Elephas maximus indicus: one gene and its partner. The protein of the gene in region 1 binds, or shares a complex with, the protein of each later gene. Links are inferred from orthologs where the notes say so. Each region holds a gene or a part of one and is shown on either strand. Other genes may lie near its edges.

Evidence for each region. Proteins that work in one complex are often made in the same cells at the same time.
Region 2: the proteins of CEP152 (region 1) and CEP63 are in contact, whole or in part, in a crystal structure (PDB 6CSU), measured with the Homo sapiens proteins. The link is inferred for Elephas maximus indicus from reciprocal best matches to the Homo sapiens genes CEP152 and CEP63. Residues at the interface, in NP_001181927.1 of Homo sapiens: Gly1261, Ala1262, Glu1265, Leu1266, Gln1269, Tyr1270, Lys1272, Ala1273, Lys1276, Ile1277, Asp1280, Met1281, Tyr1284, Glu1287, Ser1288, Arg1291, Ala1292, Met1295, Ala1298, Arg1302; in NP_001340037.1 of Homo sapiens: Phe666, Glu669, Glu670, Arg673, Ile677, Arg680, Leu681, His684, Glu687, Leu688, Glu691, Ser692, Thr695, Phe699.

What each region holds. Positions count from the first base shown.
Region 1 is NC_064828.1:6,614,098-6,617,849, reverse strand, and holds the start of CEP152 (centrosomal protein of 152 kDa), read right to left. Parts: upstream 3,042-3,752; 5' UTR 2,961-3,041; intron 1-2,960. UniProt on the Homo sapiens protein: Necessary for centrosome duplication; the function also seems to involve CEP63, CDK5RAP2 and WDR62 through a stepwise assembled complex at the centrosome that recruits CDK2 required for centriole duplication.
Region 2 is NC_064844.1:45,037,226-45,040,977, forward strand, and holds the start of CEP63 (centrosomal protein of 63 kDa), read right to left. Parts: upstream 2,703-3,752; 5' UTR 1,105-2,702; coding exon 974-1,104; intron 1-973. UniProt on the Homo sapiens protein: Required for normal spindle assembly.

The sequences.
Region 1 (3,752 bases):
AAGATTTACAGAACACATGACAAAGTCCTAATACACAAAGAAATCTCACAAAGAAAGGAGATAAACAACCCAAATGCAGACTACCACATCTTTCTCTGAGGAGCAGCTGGTTGGTTTCAATCGCGAACATTTTGGTACAAAGCGGAGCACTTAACTGATGCACCACTAGGGCTCCTTCTTAAAAGTGGGCAACTAACATGATAATTCATTAAAAAATGAAATGTAAATGCTCAGTTAACTTGAAAAGATGCTTAAGCTCATGGAGTAGTCAACCAAGTGCTCATTTAAACAACGGAATACCATTTTCAACAACTAGATTGAAAAAGGAAACCCTGGTGGCAAAGTGGTTAAGTGCTACGTGCTGCTAACCAAAAGGTCCGCAGTTTAAATCCACTGGGCGCTCCTTGGAAACTCTTTGGGGCAGTTTACTCTGTCCTGTAGGGTCGCTATGACTCGGAATCCACTCAACCGCAACAGGCTTTTTTTTAGGTTGAAAAAGATAAACTGGTAATAAGTGGTGGTTAATTAGGTACTCTCATGAATTGCTGGTGAAAGTATGGCCTGCTAAAACCTTCTTGAAAACTATCAACAATAATATATTGAAGATGAACATTTGCACTAGTAATATTAATTTTAAATAAATTTGCAGATACTTTATACCACTAGTAAGAACAATGAATTAAATATTTATTGATTCAAAGAGATGGCCATTAAAAAAAAATCAAGATGCTATTTAAAAATTTTTAATAGTAGACTTGTTATGGCTTTCTTACTAGGTAGGTAACTTTTTCTGAACTCATTAACAAGACTCTAAAAAAGTATGTCTAACCTTTTGTGACACTCTGGCCCAGTATTTATTTCATTGTCCCTAGTTATAAAAATTTTCTTTGCCCTCCTTGCAATAAGAAGAAGCACCAATAGGTGTTTATTAAGTCGATCACAACTCATAGTGACCCTATAGGACAGAGAGCTGCCCCATAGAATTTCCAAGGAGTCGCTGGTGGATTCCAACTGCCAGCCTTTGGGTTAGCAGCCAAATGCTTAACTACTGCGCCACCAGGGCTTTGTTTAGTCGATAAAACATTAGAAACAAAAATTTCGTTGTTTTTGCCTCATTTAATAGCTTGTTATAAGCATCCTGAAGGCAGAATTAAAATGTATCTGTCTCCCTCCCCACCCCACACCGTGTATATTGTCAATTCTGACTCCTAGGCACACACAGATAACCGCTGAATAAATATGATACATGAATGCTAACCTGTAGCGATTCATTATTTCTATAAAAAATTTTTTTGAACACCTAAGGAGTGTTGGGTTATATCCCAGGCGCATCTAAGACATGGCGCCAGCCCTGAACAGCTCAAGGTCTTAGGGAAACAAGCATAGACGCTAAGAGTTACAATGATACATTGTAATAAATTCTGTAGTAGAGCAAAGAACAAAGCACAAACTATCTTTACCTCTGAAGAACGGAAGCTGAGAGATGTTTCCCAAAAGAAGAAACTTCAGATTAGAAGTAGATCTTAAAGGACACAAAATGGGTGTAAACGGTTAAGAATGATGGCATTCATTCTGGCTCCTCCATTTACCAGCTGTGCAAACTTGAGCAAACTGTTTCCCTTTCATAACTAATGAAATGAAGGCAAAAATAGTGCCCACTTCAAGAATGGTAATGATGACGCTGAAGATAATGTATATTAAGTGCTTAACACCATGTACCAATCAATACATATTGATTTTGTTGTTATTAAGACATCGCTACTGATGGGTAGGAGAGGTTATGGGAACAAACAAGAACCTCAGTACATCTAGGAAAAAGATGAATGAGCAGCCTGTGGTAAACCTTACTTCAAACAATAGGACCTGCTCTCTGATGAAAAGGCCACCCCCAGCCCTTCTCCCCCGTGGTATCAGTCACTCCAAAGTTGTGCACTTTCAGAAAACCCGGTGGCTAGCGCGCCTTGGAAACCCTACGGGGCAGTTCTACCCTGCCTATAGGGTCGCTACGAGTTGGAATTGATTCAACAACGGGTTTTGTTTTGTTTTTGCACTTTTAGACTGTATTTCTACTTGTCTTACGGTATCAACTTCAGCTTCTCTTACTTCGTGGAGCGCATTCGCCTATCTAGTGAGCGTATACAAACTGCCACTCTTGTGGGGAGGTGAGGAAACTTGGCTTGACTCAGCCTGAAACTCAAGCCCATAAAATAGAAAGGGTGAGGGGCCACGAAGAGCGGTTGTAGGACGTGCCCCTGGAGTCGGGAAATTCCATTCACTTGCTAGCTTCTCTCCTAGAATGGAAATACCTGGAGAGCACCAGCCTGTTTTAGCCTCGCAATACCAGACCTACCCACTCATTCACCAATCGTTTACCAAACGTCGGTGGCAGTCCCTGTTCCGAACGAGGGGAAGAAAGCAGCGGCGACCTACGACCGTGTTCGGTGATGGGCGCTAACAGAGCGGCCTGAACGCACGGACTCCGGGTGCCCGCGGGGCCGCCGAGCAGCCCTGGCACGCGGCAGCCACCGCAGCCCGAGGGAGGCAGCCATGAATGGCCCCGCAGGAGCGCGCAGCCTTACCGGGGACGCAGCGCGGCGCCGCCCACGGCACGGCCAACAGGAGCGCCAGGCGGACGCTGCACGGGGCCGCCGCGCCAGGCCGCAGCCCCGGGGCCCGCGTCACACGCCCCGCTCAGCGCGCCTGAACAGAGCGCCTCTGTGAGCCAGGCGCGGCGGGGCGACCGGGCGGGGTCCCGGGGGCCCTGCAGCCTGCGGGAGGCCAGCGGCGGGCCCCGGGGAAGAAGGGGTGCGGGTGACGCTCCAAGGAGCTGAGCCCGCGTCCGCCGACAGCCGGCGCTGCGGTGAGGCCGGGGGCTCAGCTCCGGCAAGCCTCCACCCAGACCCTGACGACCAGATCGCCTCTGAGCCCAGCCCCAAGGCTAGCCGCGAAGCGAAACTCACCAGAGGCCACAGATGCCGTCGCCGCGGGGAAACTCCGGCCCTGTCGGAAGACCAGCTTCTGGCGAACCCCTCTCCCCCGGCTCTCATCCGCGAGCGCCTTCCTGGTGACAACCGAACCCTGGGGCGCTGAGGCCTTGAGGAGCAGCCGTCTCCTTCAATCCCGGCTAGAAGTTCGCCCTGTGCGCGGGCCCATGCCGACTGGGGGCGGGGCGAAGAGGCGGAAGTCCCCGCCCTCCTCAAGCTTGGTTGAGAAGTCCGCCAGCTGTCGCAAACGTACGGCTGTTTGAAAGCGGGCGCCAGAGGCGGCGGGAAGTGCCTCTGTACGTCTATTGGTGGATTCGTGAGCCAATTACGAGAAGGCTCCCTCTCGGGTGGGCGGGCTTATCGGTTGCCTAGAGTCGCGCAGGCACCTGGCGTCCTGCTTTCGGCCCTCGCCGACCCACCTGGCTGGAACGCCAGCCCTTGGCTGCCGCTGGCTGATGCGGCCGGAGGCTGGAGCGGTGACTCCTGCCCCCGCGCTTCTCACTCCTAAACCCCAGTTCTCGGCCGCTGGTCGGAAGCCCTCAGTCTCTCCACCGAGCTCTCGCCTTGGGGGCTTTGCATTTGCCCTTCCGTTTCTTTAAGGTGCCTATAGGGTCGCTATGAGTCGGAATCGACTCGACGGCACTGCGTAGAGACTGGCCTCCACCTGAACAGCCTCAGATACTGCTTCTCTTTGTCTTCTGGCTTACTAGGTCTTGCCTTGTTTTAATTTGTGTTTCTGTAATTACTGAAGAGGTGGTCCGTTTTCCC
Region 2 (3,752 bases), on another chromosome or scaffold:
AAGGTTGGTGGTCCAACCCACCTAACAGCACCACAGAAGAAAAGCCCTGCAATCTGCTTTCATGCAGATTACAGGCAACAAAAACCCTATGGAACAGTTCTATTCTGTAACACAGGGGGCTGCCATTAGCTGGAACCCACGAGGTGGCAAGAGTTTTTTTTTTTTTTTTTTGGTTTGTTTTATAGGAGCTACATTAATGCTTTACATATAACAAAACCAATCAAAATTTTTAAAAAGCAATACTGAAAGGCTGGAAACAAAATGAAATAAGTGAATCAACTAAATATCAAGTTGGCAGCCTGCCATTTAAATTATTTCATATGCCTTTAATAAAATAATTTTATTGCACATATCCCTAGTGGAGTAAAAACTAAGGATAAAAAAGAACTGCAAAGAAATCCTAAACACCACTTGGGAATTATATGAATAATAATATAATTATATGAATTATATGAATATGAATAATAACAATAATTGGTATTGTTAATTTGAAACCATTACATAATTATAGGATAAGGCAAAAAAGAAATATTTAATGACATTAGGTACCAAGATTTTCAGCAAGAGAAAAAGATACAAATATAAAATCAAACACATGATTTAAAAAAAAAATCTATAATATTAAACTGGAAATGTCATTGTGAACTCTGTACATTTCTCTTTTAGCTCTGGCTACTGTAAATCGTAGAACCAATGACCACCTAAAAGGAACCAGGGCTCCTTGGAGGCCAGAAATGTATAGATGACCAGGAATATGTTTTACTAGGAAGCAAGAAAATTATCAGAGACTACTGGAGTCATGTCAAAAAGAACAAGAGCCAACTTAAAAGGACTTCTGCTAGTTAAAGATAGTACAATTTGACTATCAAAGAAAAGAACAATGATTCCAATAGGTCAAAACAGTTAAAATATATTCAAATCTATGAGTATATGATGATAAAAAATTAAAAAAAGCAAAAACCTGCATGGTTACCTTTGGAAGTTGCTAGGGCACCGACTCATTACTGTAGTCTGAAAATAGAGGGAAAGAGGTAAGCATTTTTCTCGCCTTTCCTGTACAAACTGTATGTCAGGATAATCAAATAGCTGATGAGGGAAAGTCATCCTTCATAAAAGATTTCCACCTAATAAATACAGAAATAATGAAAAAATTGCAAAATCACCATTTTGCAAACCCTAATGCAATAATTTGGTGGCGTAGCGGTTAAGTGCTATGGCTGCTAACCAAAAGGTCGGCAGTTTGAATCCGCCAGGCATTCCCTGGAAACTCTGATGGGGCAGTTGTACCCTGTCCTGTAGGGTCACCATCAGTCGAAATCGACTCGATGGCAACAGGTTTGGTTTTTTTTTTAATGCAATAATAATAGGATCAGACAGTGTTTTGTTCTGTTGTACATAGGGTCGCTATGAGTTAGAAGGACTGGATGGCACCTAACAACAACAATGCAATGATTAGGAGCCCTAGCGGTGCGTTGGTTAAATGCTCGGCTACTTACTGAAGGGCCTGCAGTTTGAACCCACCAACTACTCCATGGAAGAAAGATGTGGCAGTCTGCTTCTGTAAAGATTACAGCCTTGGAAGCCCTATGGGGCAGTTCTACTCTGTCCTATAGGATTACTATGAGTCAGAATCAACTTGACAGAAAATACCGCAATAATGGATACAGTAAATCTAACCCACAAAAGTATTTTACCAACAGGTGAACCGCTCATAGGAGCTTTTATGATGAATGGATTGGGCTAACAACACCTGAACCCACTGTTCACAAAAAGAGACCACTCAGACACTACCTGCCCCCCGACAATGATACAATAGCAAGTACACTGCAGCACCTATAAAATATTCTTGCCCCCACTCATCAAAAAAAGAAAAAAATCAAGGGTGAATATGATCAAGCTTATAGGTAAGTGCTCTTCAACAGAGCTTTATGCAATTACGGAAATTATGGGCGACTGGGCTTAAAATGTGGCTAATGCAGCTAATGAAATAAATTTTTAATTTTAATTAATCTAAATAGCCACAGTTGGCTGGTGGTTACCATATTGGACAGTGCAGTTCTATATCTAATGGTTTAGCAGAAATAACAGAGGTACAAGTTAAAGGATACCACATAGCTACAACCAGCTAAATCTAGATGGCAATGAAAAAAGGGGAAAGAGAAAAGCAAATTACTAAGATTGTAACAGACTTAAAAAGTATATCAACCAAATGTAACATGTGGGTAGATCTTTACAAGACTTTCATCCAAACAAGCGAACTGTAAAGACATTTATGGGATGGTTGGTGAAATCTGAACCCTGCCTGGATATTGACATTATAGAATTATTAATTTTGTAGGTGTGATGACAGTATCATGGTTTTGTAAAACCGAAAAAAGAAACCTCTGTTCTTGGAGGGAAAAACCCGTAAGTAACATAAAAATCAGAAATTCAATTCCTGAAACCTTATGTCATAATTGGCTTTGGCAGAACAAGTCAACATTGGAAAAAAAAGGAATGATCTAATGAGAGAGTGGACTACTCACCATAAGGCTAAGGGCTTCTACCTCTTAAGTGGAGGAAAATGGCATCAGTACAATTAATATATATACTTATCACAAATTTTTTACATCTGAATTTACATCATTTTAAATGGCAGTGTCAATCCAAATGTTTATAAATCTCTAATCCATTTTAGTTTAAAGCCTTTTTTAAAATTATACCTATCTCTGATAATGACATAGTCAAAAGGCAAGCAGCAAGCAAGTTTGAGAAACAAATGGAAATTTATAAGAATGAATAATTTTTTCAAACCTTCTGAATTCAGGATAAAAATTAAAGACAGTATTGTATTCCACATAAGAAAAGATATACTTTTTATTGTATCATTAAGCTCTAGCTATTAAGTGTATGGAATCTCTGGGTGGTGCAAAGGTTAATGTGCTGGGTTGCTAACCGAAAGTTTGGAGGCTCAAGTCCATCCAGACGCACCTCAGAAAAAAGGCCTGGCAACCTGCTTCTGAAAAATAAACCATTGAAAATCCTGCAGAGAACAGTTCTACTCTGACACACATGAGGTCGCCATGGGTCGGGATGAACTGGATCATTTTTTTGTTTTGTTTTGGTTTAAGTATAAACGTAAATATTTGAAGGTAAAGTGTAGTTGATGATCATTATCATGATTTCCTCTTCATCTACAGCCTTGGTGGCACAGTGGTTAAGAGCTCAGCTGCTAACCAAAAGGTTTTAAGTTTGAAGCTCCTTGGAAACTGTGAGGCAGTTTTACTATCCTATATGGTCGCTGAGTTGGGATTGACTCCACCAAAATGGATTGTTTTTTTCTTCATCTCTATGAAATAAAAACTAAATGCTAACATGAGCATTTATAAGGACCTGTACAAATATGGGAATCTACAATATCGCTTTATTAAAGAAATAAAGTAGCTTTCTTTAAAAATCGGTTTAGGGAATCAGACGCAAAAACTAAGTGCTCAGGGGAAACTACTTTATGGAAGTGTACTGCACTGTTAATTACAAAAAAAGACTAGTCTCTGACAGCCTTATATTTCTCTCCTGATGTTACAGGGACACAAGAAAAACCCCATCACGAGCTAGATTTACTGTCTCTATTTTCAGGATTAAAGTGTTTCTAAGGAATCGCCGTTTTTAACCCACTCTTACGTGGTTCCCAGTCCTGACTTGCACGCATGGAGCAATCAGTTCAGGGTTCCCCAACTTCAGTCCTTCCCGAATTTTGCCACATCCTCGTACTT